5 linked regions of the Sus scrofa genome follow. The protein of the gene in region 5 interacts with the protein of the main gene of each other region in a pairwise test. Links are inferred from orthologs where the notes say so. Each region holds a gene or a part of one and is shown on either strand. Other genes may lie near its edges.

Region 1 (6,707 bases), on a different chromosome or scaffold from region 5:
ATCTACTTTATAGGGAAAAAAACCCATAACGTTTCATGTACAGTATAACTTAACATAAATTTTTTAGGGAGTGAGGAAAAATACAACAGGATTTCTGTCTCCTTTAAGATTAGGAGATATATAAAATTTTAGTAGTTACCATTGGGTTGTGTTGTAATTTACTTACAGTGTAACCACTTGTGCAGCCAATTAACTTGCATTTTCAGAGAATACTTAATGAATGAAAAAATATTCTCAAAATAATGAAGTAAAATTGAAGATGCAAATCAATACAGTGTAATTCCAATTTTGTTTTTTTTAATTTTTAAAAAATTTTTATGTCTTTTTTTAAGGCCACACCCATGGCATATGGAAGTTCCCAGGCTAGGGGTTGAATCTGAGTTGCAGCTGCTGGCCTACGCCACAGCCACAGCAATGCCAGATCTGACCTGCATCTGCAACCTACACAGCAGCTCTTGGCAACCCTGGATTCTTAACCCACTGAGCAAGGCCAGGGATCAAACCCATGTTCTCATACATACGAGTTGGGTCCGTTACCACTGAGCCACAACAGGAACTCCCAATTTTTTTTAAAAAAAGGTCACTGTGAAATTGTTTTAAGAACAGGGGAAAAATATCCCCAAATGTTCATTTCATCATCTCAATGGTGGGTTGAATTTTAATAAAAGTCACCTCTTTTTTCTCTTTTGTGAGCATGCCTTCTCTCATTCATGAGACACTGTCAGGACAACCAAGGAACTAATAATTCATGTTTTAGCTTTGATAAATCTTCACAGATACAGGCAGCATATGCATTTAATGAGTTAGAGTACTGATAACTCAGCTTTTCTGATAAGAAGTCCTTGAGCGAGGCCCTTTTAAGTTCCTCTAAGAAAGGACAGTTGGAGAGCCCTCATGTGAGTTGCTGCAGCCCAGTTGGCAATAGTCCATTTGCCACTAGAACCCAGGCTTAATAGCCTAGCTCAGGGCCCTGCTCCAGAAGTCATGGACTTGAGGAGGTCCAGGCTTTAAATTCTGCCCAACTTTGGAGCTGGGCACCCAGGCAACTGCCTGCCTGCCGAAACAGGTGAGCAAGTAGGGACCATCTTGAAACCTGGAAGGGGCTTTGCCCTGACCTTACTGCCCATCAGTGTTCTACCCAAATTCCATTGTTACTGATAAAGTGTCATGTTGATATTTTTTAAATAACTGATGTTATCTGCTTACTGAATACTTTTCCTATGAAAATCACTGAACGGTCATTTCCTTCTATTGGGGAAAAATGACTCATGCTCCTCACTCTTTTGTATCTTTTTTACATGGTCAAGTATTCATATTCTTTAAATGGCTAGGGATTAAAAAAACTCAATCCCATTGGTTAATTTAAAACCTTACTTTATCTATACGTAGAACTTATTTTGATACACAGTCTCATCTGAACAGATTCAAATACAGAGGCTCTAATGCTACCCACCTAATATGGAAGGACCTGGAACGCAGACTAGAACATTCTTCCAAGTGGAAAACAGCTCAGATGGTTAATGCAAATGAGGAATTTCAATTGGCTTTGAACATAGCATAATGCAAAATAACCATCTCATAAATTACTTTCTCTCGTATCTGTGTATCAAAATATTTATAAAATGTCTTGCACTGTCATACCTAACTAAGCCTCTTGGTATTTACTTTTTCAGTAGGATTCTCTTTGTCTTAACACAAAGTCAGATGCAGTGACTAAGCACTGACTTAGAAAGTGGACTTTCTCTCTCTCATTCTGACTCTGTCTCTGTCTCTTTTTGGATATACAGTCAAATTAGTGTGAAGATGGAGGACTAAAAAATATCACACAGATTATTATGGTAAATTGTGGATAGTAAATTCCACAATCTGATATGTGATCTGCTTTCTTGAAAAATATGTGCATTTAAAACCAACCCAATTTACAGTTGAGGAAGTCAAAGTTTCCTTTTAAAAGTTATCTATGAGTAGAAAATGGGAAGTTCAATGGAGATTGATGAGCTTATAAATTGTCTGTTTAGGAATAAGTAACTCCAGGGTATTCTGCAAATCTCTAAATTCAGAACAATCAAGGGAACCCATGAGCTTTTAGGAAAACTCATTCCCTTGGAAGATAATCTCAATACTGTGTGTGGATCGGAAGAGCATCCAAGTGTGACAGAAAGAATGTGAAAAAAAGAATGAACACTGTAAACCAACTATAATGAAAAAATAAAAATCATTATATATATATATATATATATATATATATATATATGAATGATCTATTATAGGATGGTCATAGTACTTAGGAAAAAGAAACTTGTGGGTTTAAAGTTCACATGGACCAAAGTGCCTGAATGATAGTGAGGGGTGATTAGTCCTCCATGCTCTGACCTCACTCAGAAATAGCCTGGACCAGGTGGGCCAGTCTGGGCGGTAAGAACTCAGGCCACGGCCCTGCATGGCCCCTGCAGAGGGTGAGTGCTGAATCTGGGGACTGAAGTGTGTGCTTCAAATTTGGGATGCACACATGGAAGCTGCCTCTTGCTCAGAGATGACCCATGCCCAGTAGTGGCGATTGTAGGGTAAGCAGTGTCCCCAGAATCATATGTTGAAATCCTAGTTCCAGCACTTAGGAAAGTGACCTCATGTGGAAGTAAGGTCCTTGCAGATGTAATCAAGTTAGGATGAAGCACAGAGGAATAGAGTGGGTCCCAAATCCAATGACTGATGTCCTTATGAGTAGAGAGAGATCTGGAGACACATGCACAACAAAAAGGAGCACTACCACGTGACAACAGAAGCAGAGATTGGAGTGATGCTGCCATTAGCCAAGCAATGCCAAAGATTTCTGGCAACCACCAGGAGCAGGGAAGAGGCAAGGAAGCATTCTTCCCTAGAGCTTTTAAAGCAGTGTGACCCTGCTAACATCTTGAATTCAGACATCTAGCCTCAGAACTGCCAGACAATCGATTTATTTTGTTTTAAGCCACTCAGTTTGTTGCTCTTTGTTCAGGCAATGCCAGGAAATGAGTACAAGGACTACAAGGTACCCTTTAGGCATCTCTTCTTTTGCAATCCAAGGTTGCAACAATTTGCCTTGAAGGGGTAAGAGAACTACTCAAGGTTTCCAAGGGGAAGGGGGTAGGTTTGGGTAGATTCCTCTGTGATGAGCTAGATGAACAACATATGGTGGAGTCCAATCCAGATCACATCTGGCCAGGGTGACTTCAGAAACAAAGAGGGTCAAGAAGCCTGGGCATTGGCAGGTGAAGCAATCCAACCAGCCTGAAGCCACAGACAGTGACATCCAGGTGAGGGCTTTGCTGTCCTGTCCACCACTGGAGCCTAGTTGAGCCAGGTGGAGAGCCAGGGAAAATTCCACATGGGCACATGGCTTGGAGGCCCACAGCAGTCCTGCCATCAGGGGTGTTCGTGGTGATAAGAGACTTCCCTGTACCCCATGAAGTGTCAGTGAGCAAGAAGCTTCCACTCGCTATAGCAAATAGGACTATAGGGCCTGCCTGTAACTGAGAAGCAGCAGGTGGGAGGATTTTTAGGACAAGGGTGGGGCCTGGTTCTAGTTTCCTCACAGATTTCCTAAGACCCTCCAGCCAAAATATTTCGTTCTAAAATAATGCAGAGTAAAGAATTCTAAAACCACCCATCTGGCCTTTCCCTGCCTCACTTCCTCCGATTTCCCCCCTGGCCTCCTTTAAATCAGCGCAAATCAAGGGCATGTCTGCGGAATCTCACCAGAAATTCCGCTGGGACAGGATAGGAATGGATGTCAAGGGGAGGTTAGAGGAGCCTCGTATTCTTTGGCGCCCATCATTTTATTTCCTTGACTTCCCTGGGAAAACATTTTGTTAAAACACATGCCTTGATTCCCGCCTGGCCTCGTTAGCCCCAGGCAGCCGCGGTTCCCATGAGCACAGCGTACCTTCTGAAGAAATGCACCCAGATCAGAATGGTATATGAGTCTGTCCTATTCTGGCTCTAGAAAAGAAACGTTACAGTAAATAAGTGGGCGGGATTGGCACCGCAATCACAAAAACAACCAAAACAGCAATGAAATCAAACTGAGGAAAACTTAACTTTAGCATCATATATACACTCTTTGACTGAGTTGGACTGTACTTCTGCAAGAAACAACTGCAAAAAGGAAACTGTGCAAAGAGTTGTCATTATTTTTGGTGTGTTGCATACTGCAGTTAACCGTCAGAATTAAATAGAATTGGGTAGATTGGGGGTATTTTCAGGTGGGTCTCAGGTGGGCTGAAGCAGGCAGCGTGGCTTTGGCAACCCTGCGTTGTTTTGCTAATTCGTTCCTACTTTCTTTGCGCTTTTTCTTGAAAACAAACTTTCTCCAACAAAGCTTCATCACCACATTTTCATAGAATGAGTAGGCCAAGACTATAGTGTTTGTAGGGTTTATACCCACTATTCCGTCTCCTCTTTGCTTTTCTAGGCCCACCACCGTCACCAAGTGCCAGGCTACCATCCCTCTGCCCACAGCCAACTCCTCCTGCACGGAGGCCCCATCAGGCCCCCCTCCTCAAAGGGTCCTTTCTCCCAGCTCTGGTCCTTTCTTTACAGTTTAAACCTCTGTCGGCCAGACGCTTTGCACGAATTGAAAATCGCCTCTGGACTACTTCCATCCTTAAAAGGGGTGCAGGAGCTTACCTGACCATTTAAGGTCCCTAAAAGAGGCTAACGGAAGTTGCACACACTTTCCTCTCACAGGTAAATTCATTTTAAGCAGGTTATCTGTATTTTTGAAACATAGGATTGACCCCATGGGCAGGAATTTCGGACCAGCTAGGATGCGAGGCTCACGGGGTGTGGGGAGCTACTTGGGGGCTGGTGGGAGCTGGTCAGAGGTCCTCATCTCTTTTTCAGGAGGCAGTTGCCCAGCCAGCCTATTTCAAGGGATGACCCTGGTTTTAGGGGGAGAAGTGGTACCTGTTTCTGCAGATAAATCAATCCTCTCACAGCCATAAATACTCCATTTTGATATTCTTGGAGATTTGCTTCAAATGAATCATACTAGCTCTTTTCTTCCCTTCTGGGCAGAATACTATTTGCAGACATCGGCAAATTTGGGAAAAAAGCTTGTTTCCTAAGTGGAACCATTCTGAAAACAAGGGAAAAAGGCAAACTGCACACTCATATGCAACCATTCCCCCTGAATATCCCCAAGTTTTCATTGTGTTTAAACTACCTGTTTATAAATAATATCTGATGAAAACCTCATTAAAAATGTATCTGCTTCTATGTTAAACTTTAGTTAAATTTCCACTCCTGGACTATATCTTTAAAGTATTTGAGTGTGTGTGTGTGTGTGTGTGTGTGTGTGTGTGTGTGTTTGTATTTTTAGGGCTGTACCTGCAGCATATGGAAGTTCCCAGGCTAGGGGTCGAATCAGAACTGCAGCTGCTAGCCTGCACCACAGCTCAAGGCAACCCACTGAACAAGGCCAAGGATCGAACCTGCATCCTCATGGATACTAGTCAGGTTTGTTAACTCTGGGCCATGACAAGAACTCCCTAAATTTTTTTTAATGGCCACACCCATAGCAAATGGAAGTTCCTAGACCAGAAATTGAATCCGAGCCACAGCTTCGACCTAAGCTACAGCTGTGGCAATCCCGGATCCTTTAATCCACTGCTCTGGACCGGGGATTGGACCTGTGCCTCCCCAGCAACCTGAGCCACTGCAGTCAGGTTCTCAACCCACTGTGCCACAGCGCGAACTCTATGTGTGTGTAATCTTGTCTCCTTCATCTATGATGGATCAGCATAAATGGTTTACCTGCAGAAAACTAAACTCCTATACATGTGCCTTAATGAAGTTCAGATTATTTAATAGTAGCAATTAAGATATATCTCAGAAAATGTTGATAATATGATTTTTAATACAGTCCTAATGTTTTGGGGGTCCCAGTAACACAATTACAGTATCTATTGCAGCCAACATTTACCCAGGTTACTGTGCGTCAGACTCTTTTCCAAGCTTTTAATATTAACTTAGATAATCCTCCTAGTAATGCACTTGGTGGGGCCACTGACAGGTGCTAAGTTACCCAGGTCTGGGGGTGGGGGTTGCTGGTCTCCCACACAAGCAGGGCTCTGATGTTCTCTGTCACTGCTTCAGAAAACGTGGCCTCTTGCAGTACAGTAGTCCCAGAGAGTGTGGCTATCATGGCTTTTTTTTTTTTTTTTTTTTTTTACTTTTTTGGGCTGTACCTATGGCATATGGAAGTTCCCAGAGTAGGGGTCGAATCGGAAGTACAGCTGCTGGCCTACACCACAGCCACAGCAACACGGAATCTGAGCTGTGTCTGTGACCTACACCACAGCTCATGGCAACGCTGGATCTCCGACCCACTGAAAGAGGCCAGGGATTGAACTACTAGTTGGATTCATTTCCACTGTGCCATGGCTTCTTGAGAACTTGGATGCTGAGTGAATCAAGAGCTGTCTCAATAAACTTTCTAGTTCTGTCAGCCTCTGAAATCACTAACCTTCATACAGGTGCTGTAGCACAAGTCTAGGTTTGTACTAAGCTAAAAGGAAACATATGCTTTGTGTCTAAGGCAATTACAGGATTAAAACAAGTAGCATATTGGTGTTGCTATTTAAAAGTGAAGGCTAGCAGAATATACTATCCCAAGTTACACTGCTTTTGTTTATTTGTTATTTTGAGCTGTAGGCACTTCAAAAACT
Region 2 (5,370 bases), on a different chromosome or scaffold from region 5:
GCTCTGCACCATGCGATTTCAGGCAGTCACCCACCCTCTCAGAGCCATCTCCCTGCCTGTAAAGCATACAGTAGGTGCTCCTTCCTGTGGTTCCTCCTGCCCAGCCTTGCCTCCAGGCTGGGCTGCAAAGAGTCACTCCCAGGACCTCTTGCCTTGCTCGCCATCCTGATGACCACATTGATGACTGGCGAGGAGGCTCAAAAGCCTCCCCAGGACGTCCCCATCCCTGCCGGCCCCATGTGATCTAGAATTCCACTCCATCACCAGGTAAGCTGCAGCACTGGGCCCCTGGGGCCTCCAAGACCACTTGGCCAGTTCTACCCTGGGACCTGGGCACCTGCAGCCTGCCGGCTGCTGTCAGGGGCACTCAGACAGCTTTGTGTGTGGAGGCGATGGCCCCTCGGCTGGACCTGGAGAGATGGGCCTGGTCTGCAGGGACATGTCTGCAAGCATGGTTATGGCCCATGTGTGTGGGGCAGAGGGACTGGAAAGCCAGAGCTGGGAGGACCTCAGGGCCAGGCATGGGGGCCCTTCCTACGGGCAATACAGGAGGGGCTCTGATGGGGAAGGAGGCCTACGTCGTGGCTGAGTCAGGACACGGGAGCACAGAGCCATGAGAATCCAGGGCACAGAGGTGGCTGTGGGAGATGGTCAAGAAAGAGGCAGGCTGATGTGGGGAGGTGCTGCCAGGGGGCCAGGTTTGGGCACTCACTGGGGCTCCCCTCTCCCCAGACGCCAACCCAGGCAGGAGGAGAGGTCAGCGTGAAGGTCTGTGCTCTCAGGGTATGTTGAACCCGAAGATCCACATGAGGTCGTCCAGAGTAAGCGCAGGACAGGGGGAGGAAGTGGCTGCCTCACACAGCTGGCTAAGAACTGTGAGAAGCGATGGGCAGCCCTGGTGCCTGGCAGGCAGTGATGCTCATGCAGGCCCACTTCCTCCGTGGATATGAGGGCACTGGGGCCAGCCATGCATGCGGGGGCACCTGTCCTCTCCCTCAGCCAATGTCCACTCATCTACTCTGGCAGGGAGGTCGCCTGGGGGCAGACTGGGACCAGAGGGGGTCAGGATATGGTCAGGGCACACAGTGACCATGGGACATGCAGCAGAGCCCCCCCTCCAACCCACACCACTGCTCCTGGGCAGGGGAATGCCCACCAGGCGGGATGACTCGGGGCACCATCAGGTGCTGGTTGGAGGTGGCAGAGGCCCTGGAGACATAGACCAAGGGAGGCCAGCCCCTCCCCACCAGCAGCCCTGTGAGGTTATGGTGGCTGGACCCTAGCAGGAGGGCCTCGTCTCCCACCCCTCCTCTGCCACAGCCCCCTCACCCCTCTCCAGCCCTGAGATACCATGAGGTACTCATGGGCCACCCTGCCCTCTTGAAGCAGTGTCTTCCTCAGTTGGTTCTGGTCCAGGGCCTGAAGTCACAGGCAGGGCTGGACACACAGGGAGGTGAAGTGCAGTGCAGTCCAAGAGTAGGGAACAGAGGGAGTGCAGAGTCCTTTTCTTGGATGACTAAGGCCAGCAGAGCAAAGACATCCACCTAGGGGGCTGCACTAATATAGTGATTTATTGCTTCTTTACCATGTGGGTTACCAAGTTCAAAGGGAGGGGGAAGAAACTGACGAAAATAGCAGCTCATCTGGGACTGTCTTCCTTCTCTGGGGCATCCCTTTGCTTCTCTGGAGCTCAGGCTGGAAGCCGCAAGCTCTGCCTTGTTCCCTGCCGGCCCCCTGGGCCATCAGAGGCTGGCTAAGTGTGTGTCTCTGAGGGCTGCAATGGGGCCCCTTCCTCAGTCTCCTTACTGGGCTGCTCGCTGGCCAGACCCGTGGCCTCTGACTGCCTGGACACCTGCATCTGCAGCACCTCCTCCTCGGGGTTTGTGTCAGGCCGGGCCTCTTCCCGGGGCTCCAGCTTGGTGGCAGACTTCTTGTCAGAGCTGGGCTCAGGGGGCCACGGTAGCTCAGAGCCCTGGGAGCTCTCACCCTCCTTGTTGATGGCTGCAGAGGACAGGCCCCGTGCCTTGGGCTGCACCCAGCAGTGGCTGAGGACCTCATCGATGTGCAGCCGCCGGTTGACGTCAGGCTGCAGCATGCGGTAGATGAGATCCTTGCACTCGCCTGTCAGGTGCTTGGAGCGTGGGAAGTTGACACGGTGCTCCTTCTGGATGCGCAGCATCTTCTTGATGTTGGAGTCATCGTAGGGCATGGAGCCGCAGACCATGATGTAGAGAATCACGCCCAGGCTCCAGATGTCGTACACCTTGGGCTGGTAGGGGATGCCCTGTAGCACCTCGGGGGCTGCATAGGCTGCTGACCCGCAGAAGGTCTTGCTCAGCGTCAGTCGGCCACTGTCATCCCGCAGGCAGCGCTTGGAGAAGCCGAAGTCAGACAGCTTGATGTTGAAGTCCTTGTCAAGGAGGAGGTTCTCGCACTTGAGGTCTCGGTGGACAATGTCCATGTCATGGCAATACTTGATGGCTGAAGAGAGCTGGTGGAACTTCTTGCGAGCATCATCTTCCTGCAGGGCCCCCCGGGTCTTGATGAACTCAAGGAGGTCGCCCTGGACCCCAAGCTCCATGACGATGTAGACCTTGCCGTCTGATGTTTCAAAGATCTCATAGGTCTTGACAATGGAGCGATGGTTTAGCATGGCCAGAATCTCAATTTCCCGGGGAAGGAATTTCTCTAGGAAGTCCGTGGGGGCTTTCTTGCGGTCGATGATCTTGACCGCCACGTTGAACTTGAGGCGCTCAGAGTAAGCGGATTTGACTTTGGCATAAGAGCCCTCTCCCAAATTTATTCCCATGATGTAACCTCGTCGCTTGAGGACGGCAGCGTCATCCATGGTGCTGGGAGCACCCAGTGCCTCTGAGGCTGCCCTCTACATCCCTGCAGGACATGGGCCAGTGGCGTCCTCATTTACACTGTGGACAGAGAGTCCTCTGGGCTTGTCGGGCCTGCCGTCCCTGCCTCCTAGAGGCCAAGACTCCAGAGTGGAACCTTTGGCATTGTCTCCCAGGTGACTTAAGCGGGTGAAGTCATAAAGGAGGAGTGCCCTGGGGAATGAGGCTCTGGTCTGAGCCACTTAGACTTGGAACCCTAGGAGGCCGGCCAGTGGGCTGCAGCAGACCGAAGGCCAGCAGAGCGTGACCTCATGCTCTGCTGGGACCCAAGGTAGGAGGGGACTCAGAGGAGCGCATAGTTCTGCCTAAGCCTCCAAAGTGGAGCCAGGGCTACTGATGGATCGGTGGGCTGATTTCTGCAAGCTGAGGCATCCCTGGAAATGCAGGGCATGTACATGGTCCCATCAGTCTGAGGCTCAGTAGGAAATGGGAGTCGCTCTCAAGTTAGGGATCTCTGAGGTGGGCTACAGATATGGAGCAGAGGGTAGGGAACCCTGTTGTAGTAGCAGAACTGGAAGAAGGGCAGATGGTCACTAGGACCTGGGAGGAAGAGGGCAGAGAGGGCCACCTTGAGAGAAGCAGTGATCTCAGGTGGAGGCTTCAGGAGCCCATGGGGAAGGGGCTGGGGAGATGTCCCTGACCTAGAAGCCTTTGATAGTGTCCATGCAGGCAGTCTGCTGGGCACACAGCAGACCAAGAAGGCGGGTGGGGTGGTCAGGAGGGGCAAGGACTCCTGGCCCAGTGGTCACTGCAGCTTAGGAAGCTGGTGCTCTGCCCTCCCCCTGCATGGTTTAGGTGGACTTTTCACTTCCCTGTATGGCTCTCATCCAAAACTTTGCTGGTCTCTGACAGTGGCTCTGCAGGGGTTGGAGGTGACAGCTGGTAGGGCTTTCTACTCTTGACTGTGACTTCCCTTCTGGTGGTCTTCCCAGCTGTAGCCCTGGCTGGGCTCCCAGGGCAGGTGTGGGGCTGGGGGCAGAAGGCTGGGCCTGGATCCAGTACAGCAGCTGCTGGGGGAATGCTCCCTGAGGACATGCCTACAGGACAGTGTTAGGCAGGGACTGCCATTTCTACCAGTAGTGGGGCCTCTCTGCTGTGGGCCCCCTTTGTCCAGCATCTTCTCTGGGCCATGCCCTGAGGAGACAGGAGCAGGCAGGTCTGGTCTGGTCTTGGGGTTGATGTTGGTCAAACGCATCTGCAGGGAGTGGGTACTTCTCTCAGATGATTCTAAGTGTCCCTGGCTGGAATCCCGGGACATTCAGGATGAGCATGCCCTGAAAGGGCTCAGGGTAACTGCTCCTTGGAGTGAGCTGGGGGGTTGGAGGTGGGCCAGGTGGGTGCCTACCAACCTTGGCCCTATCTGGCCTTTGCTCCCATCCTCACCCTCTTCCCCAGCCCCGACACCCTGGGCCAGGCCTTGTGTGCGTGGCTGGTGGTCCTTCCTATCTCTGAGAACACCCCATCTGCTGTGTCCCCTCCCACGATGACAGGTGCATGGCCAGCACTTGGAGTATTGTCCCCACTGGCTTCCCTCCATGCACACAGGCCTGCTGTGGCAGCAGTTGTGCCAGCGTCCCTGCCTCCCCCCTTGTGTAGGCAGGGCCCTTCCTCCAGAGGCCGGCTTTGCTCACAGTCACTAGGATCTGGGCTTCCCTGTCACCTCTCCTTGGTGACCCTCCCTGAGGCTACTTCCTCCTCTGAAACATTTCAGTTGTGCGTGCGGGGGAAGCCACACACATGCATGTTCCCTACACGGTGGAACCGCCTTCAGAACCTCTTCATAGATAGTCCAGATTCCACTCCACAGCGGTTCCGCTTTAAAAAGACCACTTTGGGGTGCACTCTGTGACCGCTGACGAGACCTGGGCCATCTGGTGCCAGAGGTGTGAAGACCCTCGGTGTCCCACTAGCTCCCCCTGCGCACTGCCCCACTCCCTTCAGGCCACGCCCCCGGGCCGCGCCGGCCCATGAACGTCCCGCCCTTTCCGTGTCGGTCATCTAGGCCCCACCACCCCTGTCCCCCGTCCTAGGATCCGGGCCCTTTGGAGGCCGCGCCGCTGAGGCTCCGCCCCAAACACAACCTCTCTGCTCAGCCAATGGTACCCTTGACACTTCGTAACCCCGGCCGCCCTCGGGCCACGCCCCTTTCGGACACTGCGCTTGGGAGGGCACGGGCCACGCCCTTCTCGGAGCTCATTGGCCAGCGCCGCGTCGCGGGCGGGGGCGGGGCGGCGCGGACCGAGCAGGACAGCCGCCATCTTGCGCGGAGCTGGAGTCGGAGCCCGAGGCTGTGGCCGAGAGCGCGCGTCCCTCCGCCCCTCCCGGAGCTTTTTCCCGCCGCGTCCTCGTCCGGCCCGGCCCGGCCCGGCCTCCCCGTGGGGTCGCGCGGCCGCCCCGGGGACGATGAACGGAGGATAAATGGTGCCCAAGGCAGACAGCGGCGCCTTCCTGCTGCTTTTCCTTC
Region 3 (6,031 bases), on a different chromosome or scaffold from region 5:
AATCCCAAATAAACTTCTACTATGCATCCCAGACCCAGCTGGTTACAGACACTGAGGGTATAAAATATTCCTCTGTTGCTTTAGATACCTCGTAGCCAAGGGAGTGTCCATAGCCCTTTGTGTGGGAGGGGTGGGTCTGAAGTCACTTGGACAGCAAGCTTCACATGGTCACTCTGACTGACTCTAGGACAACAGTGAACACACCTTCTGTAGAGGCAAGTATAGGTGTGCTGATTGCCCTTTCTGAATGCAGAAAGCAAAATATTTCTCCTTTACCCCATTCCTCATATGCACACAAGGGAGACAATTCTTTTTAGCCATCTTCAAAGCAGGATGTTTTTATAGTATGTAAAAGTCAACATCAAATGCTTTCTTTTGCAGTTTCCTGACTAAATTTGTGAAACACTTGAGTAAACTGGTGTGCAGACCTTGGATCTGTTTTTGATCATACTTTTTCTGTTGTTGTTTTTATTCATACTTCCAGTTAATTGCTATGTTTGTTTCTGTTTATCCTCACAGTTAATTGCTAGGTTATTGTTTTAGCCTGGTTTCATTTGACACATAATTCAGCTTCTTTCAAAGCACAAAACATCATTTTGATTATCTGTCGTTTTTTTTTTTTTTTAAATCCACATTAAGTAAGGGAAACTGTACGATGGAAAGTCGTGGTACTTCTGAAGCTGGGTGGCCTCTCAGCACTGGTTTTTCCTTTTTCTTTTCAATCTAGTGGCTGAACAGGCAGAATCCATTGACAATCCATTGCATGAAGCTGCAAAAAGAGGTAGGTGTGACTCTTTTTTATTGTGATACACAGTATGGTAAAACACACAGATGTTAATTATCTAGTTTGATGAATCTGACAAATATATACACCCATGTAAGATCAAGATCAAGATCTGGAACATTCCTATCTCCCAGAAATGTTCCCGTCCCAGTTAAATCCTTGCCTTCCCCAGAGGCAGTCTTTGAACTGCCTGCTTTCACTTTAGAGAAATATGTGGTTTTAATTTCCAGAATGCCAGTCCACAAATATTTGGGAGTACTTTACCTGCCATGTGCTTAGTGGCAAGTGGAAAGGCATGGTCTATGACTCCCCGAGCTCAGAGTCTGGAGGAGGAGAGACATGTGTAGCAGATCATTACAAGACCTTGTGATAAGAATAGCAATTGAAGTGTGATAAGAATAGCAATTGAAGTGTGTTTCAATTAAGTAGGCTCTAGAGGCCAGAATGAGTAACAAGGGTAGAGGACGGGGTCTTCTTGGGGGTCCAGCATCTGGGAGAGTTGCTATAATGCAAGCATGTATGGTGAGGATGCAGCAGGGGAGGAAGGAGCACTAGGGATGGGCCTCATACTTGGAACTTTATCCTGTAGATCAGTGGTTGTCCATTAGGCGTAATTCCTCCCTCCGAACTCTAGGACATTTGGTAATGTCTGGAGACATTCTGACTGTTAGCAGTGGGGGTATGCTGGCACTTTTTGGATGTAGGTTAGAGATGTTGTTAAACATCCTACAGTATATAGTACAACTCCCATAACAAAGAATTATCCAACCCCAAATATCCATAGGGCTGCTGTTAAGAAACCCTGCTGTAGAGAATGGAGAGTTCTTGTAAGGCCACATTGAGCTTTCTTTCGTTTAATTTTAGGTCTTTTTTTTTTTAGGGCTGCACCCATTGTATATGGAGGTACCAGGCTAGCGGTCGAATCAGAATGGTAGCTGTCAGCCTACGCCACAGCCACAGCAACAACAGATCCGAGCCTTGTCTGCAACCTACACCACAGCTAATGGCAACCGCCGCATGCTTAACCCACTGAGCAAGGCCAGGGATTGAACCTGCATCCTCATGGATACTAGTCAGATTCGTTTCTGCTGAGACACGACGGGAACTCCAATTTTAGATCTTTTTAAAATCTGAATGTGCAAAAGGAAACCATTGGTTTAGGATTGTGTATAACTAGAATTAAACTAAATTGAAATTATAAAAATTCTTTGTAAACTAGATATTTACAGCATTAGCAAGAGAACTTTAAATTAATAGCTATACTTTAACATATAAGAGCAGCAACTTTAGGTAGGTTATTTGTTTTTTCTGTTCTTTTAAGAACTGAAAATGCTTTTTTTTGAGAGCTGCACATGCGACATATGAAAGTTCCCGGGCTAGGCTGACCTATACCACAGCCATCGCAACATCAAATCAGAGCCACATCTGTGACCTACACCACAGCTCACTGCAATGCCATATCCTTAACACAGTGAGCGAAGCCAGGGAACAAATCTGCATCCTCATGGATACTAGTCAGGTTCATTTCCACTGAGCCACAGCGGAAACCCTGGAAAATGCATTTTTAATATGAATGAGTAGTCTCTGCTTGACTGTCCCCCCCCAAAAGTTCCAGGATTTTACACACAAAAAGCACCTTTTTTTTTTTTTTTTTTTCTTTTTTTCTTTTTTAATAGTCACACTTGTGGCATATGGAAGTTTCCAGGCTAGGGATTAAATCCCAGCCACAGCTGCGACCTAAACCTAAGCTATGGCAATGCCAGATCCTTTAACCCATTGTTCAGGGTTATCCAACTCACACCACCACAGCAGCCCAAACCACTGCAGTCACATTCTTAACCTACTATGCCACAGTGGAGACTCCAACTTTTTTTTTTAAACAGAGTAAAAATAAGTGGACTCATTTAGGCAGCTCTTCCCATTAAAAATTGATATTAATGCTTTCCATGAATAAACTGGAAGTCAAAATGTACCATAGTGAATGCATTACAGGGCAGGTTTTAATTTCAGACTTATTAATCCTTTGCAAATACAAACTTATGCAGGATGAAATTGATTTAGAAGCAAAACAGAACAACCCAGAAATCTGTTTCATGTGTTTTTATAAATGTAAATTTTTTTCAGGCAACTTGAGCTGGTTGAGAGAGTGTTTGGACAACCGAGTTGGTGTTAATGGCTTAGACAAAGCTGGAAGCACTGCCCTATATTGGGCTTGTCATGGGGGCCACAAAGGTATTACATTTTGTTTGTTATCACAAATGTCTGTGCTATTGAAAATGTGCTTCATCTAGGGGAACCAGAATTAGAGAAATGAAAAAAAAAATTGGTTATTCTTTTTAAATCTTTCAGAACATCAGCCAAAAGCCCTGTTTTGGAAGCTCTTTAAAACAGTAGGCAAAATGTGGTTGGTCAGCCTTAGTACATGGACCTCTTTCACTTGAAAGAGTAGAAGCTTTCTTCTCTCAGGCTTGGAAAGCTGACAAGAAAACAGCAGTAATATAAAAACAAACCCCACTGTCCAATCTCATAGAAGAAAGGGGCAGAATTCACTCCTCTAGCTTAGTTTTTCCCAGTTTGATTTTTTTTTTGTTTTAATTTTTTAAAGGGCCGCACCTGTGGCATGTGGCGGTTCCCAGGCTAGGGGTTGAATCGGAGCTACAACTGCCAACCTACACCACAGCCACAGCAACTTGGGATCCAAGACTTGTCTGACCTACACCGCAGCTCACAACAACGCTGGATCCTTAACCCACTGAGTGGGGCTAGGGATTGAACCCCCGTCCTCATGGATACTAGTTGGGTTTGTTACCACTAAGCCACAATGGGAACTCCCCCAGTACTCTTTTAAGTTTAAGATTTAGGGGAAAAATAGTGTTTGCTTGAGTAAGTGATTCAGTTGATAACTTTCTCCATTATAATCAATAATAATGACAAATGGAATTTCTAGATGTATTTTAGCCTGGCCAAGAATCTGCCACACCACTCACTTTTGTCTGCTCTCTGCAACACGCAGAAAATAATCCCAACAATGAGAAACAAAGAACCCAACAAATTAAATAGCATTGTTAAAGGAAAATTTAAACTCAACTTAGTGATAAGACTATTAAGTACCCCAGCAAACATAATATTCCTATCACAGATGTCATGTGAAAATGCAAAAGCCAAATTATTTGAAAAAATTTCCCCTAAATAATTTTACTTTTAGATTCTTAGGTCTTCTATTTACCTAAATGTTGAATGATTTGTTACAAGGATTTTCTTAAGATTTGTCTAAAAAGAGTCCTCTCTTTCTCTTTAAAAATTATTATGCCCAGACCTGGTAGACTTTTACTTCCATTCTTAAATAAGATCTTTTCTATTTGAATTTCAGATATAGTGGACATGCTGTTTACTCAGCCAAACATTGAACTGAACCAGCAGGTGAGATTGCTTACACAGAAGACATTTAGCCCACCTGCCTTGCTTTTCTGGTACAGCTTCTGGGTGTGTAAAATTCTATCTTGGTGTCTTGAACTCGCTTTTTTTTTTTTTTTTTTTTTGTCTTTTGTCACTTTAGGGCCACACCTGCAGCATATGGAGGTTCCCAGGCTAGGGACTGAATCAGACCTGTAGCCACTGGCCTATACCACAGCTCATGGCAATACCGGATCCTTAACCCACTGAGCGAGGCCAGGATCGAACCCGCAACTTCATGGTTCTTAGTTGGATTCGTTACTGCTGCGCCACGACGGGAACTCCTCCTTCATAAAATTTTTAAGCAAAATACTATAAGCACATAGTTAAAAAGTTATTGTACGAAGTCCAAATTGTATAAAGCCCCAAATGCCTGCCTTACTTCTCATCTATATCACTTTCAGCTTTTAGCTCTTTCTTCTCACCTTCATGCTACTAAGGAATGTGCTTATGGAGCTGTCTCATAATTCATTATCTTCATAAGTATTTTGACATTCTCTCTGGTAGGTGATGGTTTAAGCTTGTCAACTGCCCAGCTGTCTCCCAGCACCCACCACCCAATCTTTCCTCCTTTGGTCTTCCTAATGAATCATCATAGTTTTGGTTATATTACTATATAATGCTTATAGTATTATGAATATTTAAATATCATCCATTGCTTGTTAAATGTTTTTGTTTCTGTATTTATTGATTTTTATTTAACTTTTTTTGGTATCTCACAATGACTTCTATACTGTTTTTATACTCTCTTTTGATATATCTTTCTAAAATGTAAATTATAATCAGTTGCTTTCTCTTTTTTTCTGCTTGGAATCAGACTTCCTGAAGCCCTCTCTCTTCATTCTCTAATTGAAGCAATTCGGTCTCTATTGCCCTTTGCTGTTTTCCTGGCAAACCCTTTACCTCCTTGTTGTGTTGTATCTTCACTTTTCTGGATCCCGTGTCTTCCTGTTGTTGAAAAGTACCATCAAGTAGATTCCTGAGAAAGGGGAGCCTGGGGTTGACTATTTGGCTGATGGAATTCTAGGTTGAAAATGACTTCCCTAGAATTTGGCAGGCCTGGCTCCAAGTTATTCTAGTTCCCAGGGTTGCTTTTGAGATGTTTGATGCCATTTTGAGTCCCATTGTTTTGTGCATAATCTGCTTTTCCTCTTGATTAGAGTTTTATTCTATCCTTGGTGTTCTAAACTTTCACAGTGATGTGCTTGGGCATGAGTCTTTTGCTGATAATTCTGGTGAACTCTTTCAGCCTGGAAAAATATCTTGTATTATTTCTTTTATAGTTTTATCTGTTTCCTTTGTTCTTTGGTTCTGGAATGCCCATTAGTAGCTATGTTGGCACTCTCAGATTGAGCCTCTAGTTTTTCTCAGAGATTTTCTCACCCTTTTGTTTTGGTCACCTTTTTCATTCCCCAGAGCTCTGTGTTAGATTTCTGTTGCTGTGTAACAAATTATCACAAATTTAGCAGCTTAGAACTAAACCTGTTTACCTTGTACTTTCTGTAAGCCAGAATTCTGGGTAGCCTAGCTAGGTTTTCTGCTCAGGGTCCCACAGATTGGGATCCAGGTTTTGGCTGGAGTGAAGTTCTCATGTGGAGCTTAGCTCCTATTCCAAGTTCATTCACATTGCTGGGAGTATTGTGTTTCTTATACTTGTGGTGCTGAGGCCCTCAGCTTTCAGAGATCACCTCTCCTGACAGTTCGCAGCATGGCTGTTTGCATTCTTCCACAATGCCAACAGGAGATTATGTTGCTAATGCTATGCCTTTTTTTTTTTTTTTTTTTTTAAGGGCC
Region 4 (6,031 bases), on a different chromosome or scaffold from region 5:
AGCCCGGCACAGTCCAGCTCTAGGAGGGCCCCAGATGCTATGAATGTGAACAGGGAGGTGGGGGCCGGGGATGGGCGAGCGCGCAGAGGCTGAGCTCCTCAGGGACCCGTCACCCAGGCCGCTGTTCTGGGTATGATGCTGTGTCTGCCAGGCACGTGAAGTGTGTATTGGAGCATGTGTGTGTTGGGGAGTTGGGGGGGGGGCTGAGAGTGACGCACCCCGCTTCCATCCATCCTCGGTCCTGGCAGCCCCTAGCCCAGCCCAGCCCTGCGAGCGCTCCGGGGGCCCCTGGCCCTGCACCCAGGGAGAGGTCCCTTCCGTGGCCCCTGCTGGGCAGAGAGCAGCCCTGGACTTGTTGATGCTGGAGAGGCTGTCGGCGCCAGGGGCCGCCCTCCCCTGCCAGGTGTGCGGGGCCGGAGGCGGCAAGCCTCAGGGCTGGGGCAGAGGCTGGGGCGCAGGGGGACCCAGGAGGGGAGGAAATGAGGGCTGGGGAGCCACACGGGGTGCTCTGCCTCCCCCACAGTACCTGTGACACGGTCGCTTTGCCAATGCCCTCCCCGCCCCCACTGGCACTGAGCATGACCCCCCCATCTTCCATGAATCTAGTTCCACGTACAGAATCTTTATTGGGACGTGTCTGATGCGGGCAGCCCTCCACACCTGCCCCCACTGTGACAGGGACCCTCTTGCCTTGGGATGCCCCACCTCCCTGCAACACCCGTTTGTTCAGCACCTGTGATGCCCTGAAGCGGTGGGACCCCCATCTCCCCAGCACCGGCCCTCTGGCCCTCACCACAGGCATCGGCCGGGGTCCGGGTGGGGTGAGGCTCAGCGGGGTGTGGGGCCTGGGGCTCCTCAGGCTTTCTGGATCACCACCTGGAACTTACCTGGAAGAGAAGATCTGGCTTTAGCGTGAGGCTGGAGTCGGAGGGGCCGGGCAGCACCCGAGCAGCTCAGAGGTGCTCAGCCCTGCTCTGCACCCACAGCCTGTTTCCTCGCTGGTCTAAGGGGGTGATGCTCCCTCCCACCTGGCCTGCATCCCAGGGCTGTGTGGGTGACTGGGGGCACCAAGGCCAAGCATGTAGGTCGCCAGGGTGGGGCCTGGCACAGGCGTCCATGGCATGTATTGCTCAGACCTGGCCCACTCAGGCCCTAGGTCCCCCGCGATGAGTGTACCTGGGGACCAGCAGAGGGAAAGAGGGGGCTGGAGAGTCAGCTGCAGGCCGCCTCTGGCTAAGGATGGGGCCTCGGCTTGTCTGACAGAGGGCCCTGTGGGGGCCCCGGGGGCTGCCCCGTCACATGGGCCACAGGTTCCGGGCGCCTGGCTGCCTCTGGAGTCCGTTATCACAGTGCCAACCAGGGTGACCTCCGTCATGTCACCTGGGTTCCCGTGCTGGGAAGAACGTTCCAAACCACTAACAGGTTTTCGTTGACAGTTCTCTCCTCCGGGCTGGGGGACGGCGGGGGCAGGGGCGTGGATGGGCGGCACCAGCTGTGTGGCCTGGGCTTGTGACTCACCCTCTCTGGGCCGAAGACTCCCCGCTGTGAAATGGGGCTGGGTGGCCCGGCCCCAGGAGTAGGGGGCCCCTGGCCACACTCAAGGGTTGGGAACCCCCACCCCACCCCCCCCTACAACTCACAGGCAGGCAGGGCTGCCACGGAGGCGGTCACCAGGCTCTTGATGCCCAGGGTGCTGAGGGTGCCACGGAGGAGGCCGCAGGTGAAGGCCAGGAACTGGGGGCAAGGGGACACAGGTCACCAAGGGAAGAGAGGGCAGGCCAGCAGCCAGGCCACGGGGGGCCACTGCGGGGAGAGGCTGCCCGGGGCTGGGGCCCTGGCACCCACCCCCACACCTGTACCTTAGGTGCCTCCTCTAGGTACTGCAGGCCTGAGGCCATCCGGACAAGGAGGGGGAAGCTGTTGTCCTGTAGCACGTAGGTCCCCTGGGGACGGAGAAGGAGCCCGTGAGGGCTGGGGTGGCGCCTGTGCCTTTGGTGGGGGGAGAGGAAGCAAGGGCCCAGTGCCCCAGCCCTGCTGCACTGAGGTCTGGAAGGACCCTTCCCTCAAAGCCACTGCAGTCCCGGCCTGTCCTTTAAAGCGGCACAAGGACCTTTCCAGCCGGGCCCAGTGTCCGCCCCCGCTGGTCGTGCTACTTCCCGGGTGGGTGGCTGCAGCCCAGGCCCGGGGAGCGGCCAGCTCAGCTGGGGAACGGGCACAGGCACGGCGTGGGCGCCTAATGGGAGCTCAGACCAGATCGAGACAAGCTGTGTCAGGCCGAGGCTGTCAGGCCGAGGCCGGATGCCGCAAGCCCCAGGGGGTCTCATCCTGGGAGCCTGGAAATAGCTGCCACGCCCACCACAGCCTCCTGCCTTCCCTCGGAGGGAGTACTGTGCAGAGGTGCCCAGGGGGCGGTGGCTGCCGTGGGAAACCCAGGCGCCTGCCTCCCAGCCTGGGCAGGTCCGGGGCGGGGGGGTTGCCGCCGCTTCCCCTCATGGGGGTCCCCGCCCCGCTCTTCTGGGCTCCATCCCCTGGCTGTCACCTGGTGGTTGGTGCGGAGGCTGTCTATCTGCTTTTGGAACACGGCCACCCACAGGTCTTTGCACAGGAACTTGAGGACATCCAGCTCCTCCCTGAAGGCCAGCGTCTCCCGGGGCAACCTGGGGGGTGGCAGCAGACACAGTGGGCCGGGGCTGGGTTGGGGGGCCCCGGGTGAGGAAGAGGGAGAGAGCCAGGCTTGTTCCTGTGCGGAGCAACGCACTCTGCCCGCCCGCCAGGTGCGCCCAGGAAGGGGCCCAACCTCAGGCCCTAACCACCTCTCACCTCTCGCCCAGGGCCTGGCCCACGCGGAAGCCCATGCCCTCCAGGACCGACAGGCTCATCTTCTGTCCCTAGAAGGTGGAGGAAGAGAGGCTCAGGGGCCTCGGCCACCTCCAACCGGGAGCCACCCGGTGTAGCAGAGGCCAGGGGACCCGCCATCCCCGCCAGGGCAGGGGTGGGGAGGGTCTTCCTGCAGGGCCCGCCGGACAGGCTGGCTTTGTCCTTCCACCCCATGACTCCTCAACTCCCTCACACACCTCCACGGCCCCCACCAGCCCTCAGGACCCGCTCCCCCTCGATCCAGGAGAAATGCGGTCTGCTCTGGTTCAGCTGCGGCCCTGAGGACACCCAACGCTTCCTGTTTGCACTTGCAGTGTCCACCCTTACAACCCGTCTGGGGGAGCACTGTGATGGTCCCGGAAGCCCAAGGTGACTTGCCCAGGGGCTCACATGGGACCTGGCCAGCAGGAAGCTGTGAAAGTCAGTTGTGATCATCAAGCCTTAAAATATTCTGGGAGGGGAGTTCCCATCGTGGCGCAGTGGTTAACGAATCCGAATAGGAACCATAAGGTTGTGGGTTCAATCCCTGGCCTCGCTCAGTGGGTTAAGGATCTGGCATTGCTGTGAGCTATGGTGTAGGTTGCAGACACGGCTCGGATGCCCGCGTTGCTGTGACTGTGGTGTAGGCCGGCAGCTGTAGCTCTAATTAGACCCCTAGTCCGGGAACCTCCATATGCCGAGGTGCAGCCCTAAAAAGACAAAAAAAAAAAAAAAAAAAAGAAAAAAAAATTCTGGAAGGGACATGCAGGGGCTCAGTGGAGGGGAGTGCTCCCTTGGTTGCTCGGGAAGGCAGTGGTGGTCAAGTGGCCTTCTGGAGGGCAGGCCAGGTCCCCACGGTGGAGAGGCTGCAGCACAGGGACAGGGGCAGCGGGAGGGCTGCACTTGGTGTCTGCACATGCCCGGGCGCGCGGATGGCATAGCTGGAGGAGGAGTGACCTGTTTTCAATCTGTGTGACCTGGAGAGAGCCGACGGAGGGGGGCCTGCACCAGGGACATCAGAAATACCAGGACAGCCTGTGGTGGCCAGTACGGGGCCTGGCCCACTGGAGGTGCACAAGAGACAGATGCTGAACGGACAGTGAGTGTACGCTGTGCCAGGCGCCTGGTACAAATCCCCTTGTTTAATTTTAACAACCCCGGGAGTTCCCATCGTGGCTCAGTGGTTAACGAATCCGACTAGGAACCATGAGGTTTGAGGTTTGATCCCTGGCCTTGCTCAGTGGCTTAAGGATCCGGCGTTGCCCTGAGCTGTGGTGTAGGTTGGAGACGCAGCTCGGATCCACGTTGCTGTGGCTCTGGCGTAGGCCGGGACCCCTTATCCTGGGAACCTCCATATGCCTTGCGGGCAGCCCAAGAAATGGCAAAAAGACAGGAAAAAAAAAAAAAAAACCCACAAACTTTAACAACCCTGTAAGGTAGGCTGTATTTCACACCTGGAGACCAGGGTGCAGAGGGGTTAGGTAAAACCTCCCAGAGGGGAGTTCCTGTTGTGGCTCAGCGGGTTAAGAACCCAGCTAGTATCTATGAGGATGTGGGTTCGATCCCTGGCCTCACTCAATAGGTTAAGGATCCTGCATTGCCAGAGCTGTGGTGTAGGTCGTAGAAGCAGCTCAGATCCCACGTTGCTGTGGCTACAGCTCTGATTTGATCCCTAGCCTGGGAACCTCCATGTGCTGCAGGCCCTAAAAAGAAAAAAACAAAACCAAAAAAATCCTGAGCGTGGGTGGCAGAGGGGTGAGCATCCAGGGTGACCCCCATGGCTCTCTGTCCTCATGAGGTGGCGGGAGCTGAGGCCTGCCTGGGGGTGTGCTGGGAGCAGGGAAGCCTGAGCAGAGGTGGCCTGCCTTTCAGAGCAAGGGTCCCTCTCTGCAGTTAGGCTGCGCGACACTCAGGCCCTGGCCCACCATTCCGTGCTCCTCCTGCAGGAACCGGGCCTGGGGGAGGACAGTTTCCTGCTGGATGACACTGGCTCTCCGGTTCCCGCAGGCACAGCAGGGCCGCCTCTCAGGGAGGGCCAGTGACTAATGAGTGATGTGTGGGAGCTGAGCCCGGGGCGCGAGATGCAAAGGGGGCCACGGGCCTGGCGGCTGGGTTCGGGGTCAGGAGTCAGATCAGCCCCCCACCCGTGCGAGCTGCGGGACTGGGGCAGAGTCCCGCCTGTGCCTCAGGTGCCTCGCGTGTAAAATGAGGACCGTTAAGGGAGTTGGTGAATACAAGCCAGGCGCACCGGGCTGGGCCCAGGAAGCATTACCATCATTGTCACCGGCTCTGCATCTGTCAGCTTTGCATGAGGAGGCCTTGGCTGATGGGGGAAGCAGCTCTGGGCTGGAAGGGAAACCCCACAAAGGAGGACTCGGTCCTGTGGGCTGACGGAGCCCAGCACCCGGAGTGCTGCCCAGCCCTCGGCCAGCCTTCTCTGCCCTTGCTGTGTTGCCTTCCTCCTAGGGGGCAGCTCCTGGCGGGCCAGGCTCTGCCGGAGAGTGCATCTGTGTCCGGAGGGTTTCCCAGGGGACAGGGGGGACCCCGAGACCCCCCATTCATGGCCTCCAGGAGCTTGCCTAACCGTGCCTAGTGGGGGTGACAGGTGCCCCGGGGATGGCAACCTCGGGGGAGGGCTGAGGGCGCCCCCCCAGGTGTGCAGGAGAGGGGCTAGGGAAAGCCTGAGAACGTGGCTTAGGCCCTGAGGTGGGGTCGTGGTGGGGAGGGGGCCCCAGAGAGCAGGCTGAAGAGGATGCCTTTTCCCCGTGTGACGACAAGTGCTGCCCAAAGGTTCCTGATGTGCAGCGCGGTTGAGGAAACACACAGTCCCTGTCCCGGTGGGGCTGGCGTTGCGGGGGAGAGGCTGGGGGTGGGGGGAACGGGTGGTGCCCCTGCTGATTTCGTGGCCATCTCGGGTGGCTGCCAAGAAGGATGGAGGCTGTGCAGCCAGGGCGCACGCCTCTGAGGAAGCAGGTAGAGTTAAGCCAGGAGGGGCTGGGGAGGGAAGGTACCCCGGGCCAGTGCCAGAGAGCCAGCAGGGTCCTCAGCCCGGCCAGGGGGCTGGGGCGGGGGGGCTTCCCTCGGGTGAGCTTTACACTGCCCGAGTCTGAATTCTGGCCCTGGTGCCGGCTGGACACACGACCCTGGAGCAAGCAACCTAGTGGTCCTGCGCCTC
Region 5 (6,559 bases):
AAACCCTTTCTGATGATAGTTTGGCTTCTTCTGCTTCTTCTTCTTTTTTTTTTTTTTTTTTTTTACCTCGGCCACCACAATGTTAGTTCCCTGGCTAGGGACTGACACACACCACAGCAGTGACAATGCCAGCTCCTTAACCTGCTGAGCCACCAGCGAACTCCAGATTATACTTTGGTTTCTAAAGGATGTGCCACAGAAAGAGAACATGCTAGCCAATGGCACAAATTCCTGGTTAACTTGGCACTTTCTAACTGCAAATTAGAAATTGGTGTTTTGGATTTAGCCCGGGGTTAAGAGCATGGTTCTAAAGCAGCAGACCTGGGTTTGAGTTTTGCTCTACCGCTTTCAAGCTGGGTGACTTTGGGCACTTTGTTTAACCTCTCCGAGCCTTAGAGCCTCAGTTTCCTCCTTTGTAGGATTCCATACCCATATCCAAATATCCACTTTCAGATAATAACAGTACTAGCCTCATGTGAGGACTGGATGAGATAATGCATCAAAAGACCAGGGCAGGAGTTCCCATTGTGGCTCAGTGGAAATGAATCCGACCAGTAACCATGAGGTTGATGGTTCGATTCCTGGCCTTGCTCAGTGGATTAAGGATCTGGTGTTGCCGTGAGCTGTGGTATATAGGTCGCAGACACGGCTCGGATCCCGTGTTGCTTGTGGCTGTGGTGCAGGCCGGCAGCTGTAGCTATAGCTCTGATTAGATCCCTAGCCTGGGAACCTCCACTTGCTGCAAGTGCGGCCCTAAAAAGCAGCAAAAACAAAAAACAAACAAACAAAAAAAACCCAAACAGGACAAAGCTTAGGGCCAGCACAGGGCCAGAATACGCTCAATAAATATTAGCTGTTATTAGGATCCTGTGAGTTTCATGAACATAAATACCATCCCTGTACCCAACCCCCACAAAAAGAAAGATCTACCTCTGAGACTTCAGTGCTGACCAGCTGACCAGTTGGCTCCCGGTCAGAGTACCCCACTCTGTTCAGGACCTCCCCCTCCTCTGGCTCTAAGTGAAGGTCTGCTTACCATCATACAGATGGAGAAACGAAGGGGAGTTTGAGAAGGAGTGAAAAATCTAACTCATTCTCAAGGGTGTGGGAGGATGTCAGGAGCCATGCTTTTCTTCCCAGGCTCACAACCCTCCTTTTAGAGTGCACATTCAGAGGGAGCCAGAAAGCAGGTGGCACCCTCACCTTCCCTGGGAATCCCAGGGTAGAGGGAAAGGTGGAAAGGGCACAGAGCAGCAGGGATTCAGAAAGCAGGGGTGAGGCTGTGGAGAGCTCCTCCCAGTGTCAGGTTTGAATTCTGTCCAATGGGACCAACCCTCCGGGTCTTGCAATTGAGGGAACCCAGGCCAGAGTTCCTGATAGTCTGATTGATGAGGGGTGTGGCCACCCCAGCTCTACCCCTTCCTTAGGGCCTCTGACTAGTGAGGGAGCGGCTGGTTGCCTTAAAGGAGGGTGGCAGTGGGCCACACACTCTCAGGGAGGCCTCCTCCCACTGTCCCATCATGCCAGCTGTCTCCTCCCTTTGTCACCAGTCCCAGAAAAGTGGCCAGAGGCTGGCTGACATCACCTCCCCTCCTCCACTTTTTTTTTTTTTGTTCCCTGACTACTCTCCCTCTTTTGCTCTATTTTCCCCTTTCCTCCATCCCTCCTCTGGGAAGGGCCTCCTTGGGTCCTCTGGCCTCTCCCACTTTTCTGGGAGCTATCTCCGTTCTTTCATCCCCCTCCTAACCTTTTACTAGCCCTTCAATCACAAGCCCCTGCCAACAGCCAGTGGCCATCTGTTCCTGTGGCCACCGCAAAGGAGTAGCTAGGATTCAGGCTTGCCCCCTCCCTTCCTTCCAGGCACAGCCTCTAGAAAGAAAAAAAGGAGGATGGGGAGGGGGAAGGGAGAAGGGGAAACCAGACCCAGAAGGAGCTTGGGACGAGGAGTAAGAGGGAGTGAGGGAAACAAAGTGCCAGGAGGGGGACACAACCACCTAGAGAAGCAAGAGACCAAGGAGCCAGACAAAGAGAAGGCAGAAATCAAAGTGACAGGAGTGCAGGACAAACTGTGGAGGTCTCTGCCCAGCAGTCTCCTCTCTCTGGTGGACTCACCGACGTGGCTATGGCCATGGCCTTGGCCTTCCGCGTGGCCAGCTCCAGGCCAGGCTGTTTCGCTGACTTCAGCAGCGGCTGCCCCACACCATGGAGGCGGCCCCCAGCAGCGGCGCCTGAGTCGTGGCCTCCGCGGAGGTTGGAGGAGGAAAAAGAAAACCCACAAAACTCCCCAAATGGGAGGCAGCTTGGTCGGGCAGGAGGAGGAGCGGGGCGGGCCAGGGCGTCGCTGCGGGACCTCATCCAAGGGCGCGCGCTCTGCACTGTCCCGCGGCCTCCCGGGGGCCGCCGGGTGGGCCAGGCCGGGGAGCTGCCTGCCCTAGGCCGCGGGGGCACCCCGGGTCCGCATGGGCCCAAACCTCCCTTCCAGGGCCGGGAAAGGAGAAGAGGCGGGAGCTGGGGCTGCGCCTCGACGCCTCCCCGGGCCGCTCAGGACGGCCCCGAGGGCAGGGAGAAGCTGCCGGGACGGTCGGGCTGGACGAGCGAGTTTAGGAGCCAACCCTCCTTAGCCGGGAGCCGGCCTGGAGTGCGGTGCTCCTGGGGCTGGGGTCCGGCGCCGAGGGAGGGCGGAGGGATCAGGACGGAGACGTTCGTCCCTCTTTAAACTCTTCCGAGTTGCTGAGCGGAGGCCAGGCTGGCGCCGAAGGGCTCTGAGACCGCGGCCGCTGGGGAGGCGGGTTCCCACGCAGGCACACTCGCCCGGGGATCTGGGGGCGCGGCGACGGCGCCTCGCCACCCGCGCGAGGGCCCGGCTCGAAGGGGCGGAACGGCCTTCCCCACGCGCCAGAGGGGCCCACCCGCCCCTCTCCAGCCCTCAGCCCCCTGGCCCTCGGAACCAGCCCCCTCGTCCTGCTCACTCGCACCCTTTGTGGGGCCGTTCCGCGCGCCCCAGGGCTCGGGGCAGCCCAGGTGTCTCTGGGAACCGAGAGAAAGGCCACAAAGCAAAAGAAGGACCAAAGAGAATGCGAAGGAGGAGCAGGGACCAGGGTCCTGCGGACTCGCCTGAAGGTGGGGTTTGGGGGACACTGAGACGACTAGGAAGGCTCCGGGGGGAGGGGTGGCGCGTGGCCCCGAGGCTCACCCCCGGCTCGCAGCTCCCTTTCCCTCCCCTTCCCGGGCTCCCGGCGCCCTCTCAGTGCAGCTCCTCTCTCCTCCCCTCGGGCCCTCTCCGCTCCGGCGCGGGGCTCAGTCCCAGGGATTAAGAGAAAGGAGGGAGGGGAAAAGGGAGGGGAAGAGAAGGGGCGGAGGGGAAAGGGGGACGTTCCCTCTAAAGGCGGGTGTTGAGTTTCAGCTCAGGACCCTCGGGCCAAATTGCACGCCCCCTCCTGGCTCCTCTCCCCGGCGCCTGCTCCTGCCCGACGTCGCGGCGGACCTCCCGGTGGTCTGGTTCGCTCCCTCCGGAGAGCTTTCCTCTCCCGGTCACGCTCCTGTTCTCCCCCGCCTGCCCCGCGCCTCTCTGCCCGCCTTTCAGTAGCCCCACATCTGTCTTTCCCGTGGGAGGGAGCGCGCCTCTTCCGTCTTTCTGGGGTCCTCCGCGGAGCCGCTCCACTCTCTTGGCTTGGCCTCTCTCTGCGGGGGAGGCAGGTCGCGGGGCTGGGGCTGGACACGGATTCTGGACCTGAGGAGAGAACGTGCTGCCTGAGCGTCGGGTCCCAGAGCTGCCGCCCCGCCGGTCGTGCCGCCTCAGCCAGTCCGGGCCTGTCCCTCGCCGTCACTCTGGCTCACTCCTGCTGCCAGGAGGAGGAGAACTGAGGACAGCGGATAGGACTCTTTCAGAGGAGCTGCGTTCTGGCCCCTCAGGAGCTTCAGCAGAAAGGGCGGGGCTCTGGGGTCCCCACACCTCTCCTGCCCTATTACTTACTGCTCCTTTGTGGGCGCAACTTCCCTCCACCTAGCCCCCACTCCGCGTTCTTCCTTTGGGGGCATACATCAAGGCCCCTCAGAAACTCCAGAGAACCTTCCTTCTTCCGTTTTTGAGCTTCCTGGAATTTAAAAAGTGAGATGCCAAACAGGATTGAAAAGCTGTGGTATATTTTCAATGTTTACATTTAGCGCATTAACACTTCAAACACGTGAACAGACAATGGCTCTGTGTAAAACCTCATTTGGCGATAACATCAGAAGTCTAATTTAAGGCGCTTTGTGAACTTGAGGCCTTGGATAGAGGCTCCCTACCTTTCCTCCCACCTACCAGCACCCCCCCACCCCACATTCCGGGCCCACGTGTCCGTGTCCAGGTAGGTGGGAGGAAAGGTAGGGAGCCAGTAGGGGAGGGGGGATACCTGCCCCAGCTCCATCCGACCCCCTCATTGCTTGGGCACCTATGAACAGACTCAGACTCTCTTAGGATGGGAGAGGAACTTTATTTTGCTTTTTAGGGCCACACGTGTGGCTTATGGAAGTTCCCAGGCTAGGTTGAATCCAGGCTGCAGCTGCTGGCCACAGCAATGGCAGATCCGAGCCCTGTCTTAGACCTACGTCAGAGCTCACAGCAATGCCAGATCTTTAAACCACTGAGCGAGGCCAGGGATCGAACCTGCATCCTCATGGATACTAGTCAGATTCCTTTCCTCTGCGCTGCAACAGGAACCCTGAGAGAGGAATTTTTAAATTTACAGATGCATCTGAAGAGAGAGCTCCCCCATTCCAGCTCCAGCCTGATGCAGCTTCTTCCAGACCACAGCCCTGGGGGGTCTGGCTGCCTGGAATTTAGCAGCTGGAGAATGACTTGGCATGACCACTGCCCAGGGGGCTGCCAAGGCACAAGATGGAGGTGGGGCTCAAGATGGAGGTGGGCAGGAAACCCAGTTCCCAAAGATGACCGCTCTGACTGGCACAAGGGGAAAATAGATGGAAGCCAGAAAAGACTAAGCAGGAAGGAAGTGCTGGCAAAACGGTGGTTTGAAATGTGGGCATTGAGGCCCTGTGCCTGCGGCTAGGTGACTGGGGAGCCGAGTGCAAACCTGCAGGAAAACAAGTCTGTGTTTCTGGAGTGCTCAGGCAGGGAGTGGAGCCAGTTAGACTCAGGAGTGAATCCTGTTTTGTCAGCTGGGTGACCTTGGTCAAGATCTGCAACATCTCTGTTGCTCAGTTCCTCATCTGGACAGCGACTTTGGTGAGTAAATATGTGTAAAGTCCATGGCACAATGGCTCTTCCTCTTCACCTTGGCTCTGCATGGCTCCCCACTCCCCCCACAGCTTGAACCTTGGTGAGAGCTCAAAGTGTTTGTTGAGGGCAGGAGGAGACTTCTCCCTGTTCTTAGGCCTCATCTCTGCCCTCTTGTTCCCAAACAAAAGTTTAACATGATTCTGACTTGTTCAGGGAGGGTTCTGAGCCCCAGGTTAGTTTGGGTGGGTTGCTAAGACCCTGCCTCAGACAGGAGGGCCCTCAGCTTCAGGCTTGTCTTTGCCATTCTTCAGGGGGTAGGAAGGAAGGAACCTCTCCATTTGGCCTTCTGGGTCCCAGTCTTCTCTTCCAATCTTGTCCCTTCCCAGCAAGGCCAAGCTCATCCACAGCTGGTCTCGTCCTCATGCCATTCCGTCATGACTTTCTTGACCTGTTCTTGTTCTTCTTGATTTGCGGAACATCTCAAGTGCTTATGAATTCTTCCAGTTCTCCTCTCTTTAGCCCCATTAGCATCCAGCTTCCCTGAGTTCTAATCCTGGTTCCAACCCTGGCAAAGTCCAACCTGGGCAAGCTATGTGACCTCTTGGAGCCTCAGGTTCCTTGTCCGTCAAGTAGGATAATAATGGAACGGAGGATTAAGAGAATCCTGAGAACCGTGCCTGGTCCATGATGTGTAAATGTTGGCTCAAAGCAAATCTTACTGTCATTTGATGCCAGCTCTATGGGGCAGCAGAAGGTCAAGGACATGGTGCCTGCCCTGAAGAAACTGCCATCACGTAGATCATGCTTGAATACAGTTGATACCTTCTCACTGACCCTGGGTAAAATCTAAATGTTCCACCACAGCCTGTAAGACGCTATGTGATCTGGTCCCTACCCATCTCTTCCCTTCACCCTTAGCCTTTGTTTTTCTAGCCATACTGTCCTTTCTGTTTCTCAAACATGCCAAGCTCTTCCACCTTTGGGTGGAATGTCGTGTGCCCTCTGCCTGGACCACTCTTGCCCCAGACCCTTTTCCATCATCATGTCAAATCCTGCATCTTTGGAGCCTTCCCTAGCTTTTTAAGCTAAAGGTGCCCCTTCTCACTACCCACTCCCCACTGTCCAGTAATTCCCTGTCTTCTAACACTGTTTCATTTTCTTCATAGCACTTATCATTATCAGAAATTATCTCACTTCCTTGTTTGCCATCTGTTTCCTCCTAAAACCTGAGATTCCTGATGCAGGGACCTTATCTGGATTGTCCTCCTCTGCATTCCTAGTAGCATTTAGAATGGTACCTGGTGGATAGCAGATGCTCAGTAAGTGTTTGACAAATGG

The links.
Region 1: the proteins of EFS (region 5) and SORBS2 interact in binary tests that used the Homo sapiens proteins (3 or more experiments, as listed by UniProt). The two-hybrid records come from large-scale screens. The link is inferred for Sus scrofa from reciprocal best matches to the Homo sapiens genes EFS and SORBS2.
Region 2: the proteins of EFS (region 5) and TSSK1B interact in binary tests that used the Homo sapiens proteins (3 or more experiments, as listed by UniProt). The two-hybrid records come from large-scale screens. The link is inferred for Sus scrofa from reciprocal best matches to the Homo sapiens genes EFS and TSSK1B.
Region 3: the proteins of EFS (region 5) and OSTF1 interact in binary tests that used the Homo sapiens proteins (3 or more experiments, as listed by UniProt). The two-hybrid records come from large-scale screens. The link is inferred for Sus scrofa from reciprocal best matches to the Homo sapiens genes EFS and OSTF1.
Region 4: the proteins of EFS (region 5) and TRAPPC6A interact in binary tests that used the Homo sapiens proteins (3 or more experiments, as listed by UniProt). The two-hybrid records come from large-scale screens. The link is inferred for Sus scrofa from reciprocal best matches to the Homo sapiens genes EFS and TRAPPC6A.

The regions. Positions count from the first base shown.
Region 1 is NC_010457.5:46,723,502-46,730,208, forward strand, and holds the start of SORBS2 (sorbin and SH3 domain-containing protein 2), read right to left. Parts: upstream 3,979-6,707; 5' UTR 3,923-3,978; intron 1-3,922. UniProt on the Homo sapiens protein: Adapter protein that plays a role in the assembling of signaling complexes, being a link between ABL kinases and actin cytoskeleton. Can form complex with ABL1 and CBL, thus promoting ubiquitination and degradation of ABL1.
Region 2 is NC_010456.5:50,935,363-50,940,732, reverse strand, and holds TSSK1B (testis-specific serine/threonine-protein kinase 1), read right to left. Parts: upstream 2,849-5,370; coding exon 1,754-2,848; downstream 1-1,753. Other genes in the region: DGCR2 (integral membrane protein DGCR2/IDD), read left to right, coding at 5,325-5,370. UniProt on the Homo sapiens protein: Testis-specific serine/threonine-protein kinase required during spermatid development. Phosphorylates 'Ser-288' of TSKS. Involved in the late stages of spermatogenesis, during the reconstruction of the cytoplasm.
Region 3 is NC_010443.5:228,179,143-228,185,173, forward strand, and holds part of OSTF1 (osteoclast-stimulating factor 1), read left to right. Parts: intron 1-727; coding exon 728-781; intron 782-2,908; coding exon 2,909-3,016; intron 3,017-4,154; coding exon 4,155-4,204; intron 4,205-6,031.
Region 4 is NC_010448.4:51,578,300-51,584,330, forward strand, and holds the end of TRAPPC6A (trafficking protein particle complex subunit 6A), read right to left. Parts: intron 2,889-6,031; coding exon 2,821-2,888; intron 2,658-2,820; coding exon 2,540-2,657; intron 1,944-2,539; coding exon 1,860-1,943; intron 1,735-1,859; coding exon 1,641-1,734; intron 888-1,640; coding exon 856-887; 3' UTR 607-855; downstream 1-606. UniProt on the Homo sapiens protein: May play a role in vesicular transport during the biogenesis of melanosomes.
Region 5 is NC_010449.5:75,718,004-75,724,562, reverse strand, and holds the start of EFS (embryonal Fyn-associated substrate), read right to left. Parts: upstream 4,324-6,559; 5' UTR 2,356-4,323; coding exon 2,113-2,355; intron 1-2,112. UniProt on the Homo sapiens protein: Docking protein which plays a central coordinating role for tyrosine-kinase-based signaling related to cell adhesion. May serve as an activator of SRC and a downstream effector. Interacts with the SH3 domain of FYN and with CRK, SRC, and YES.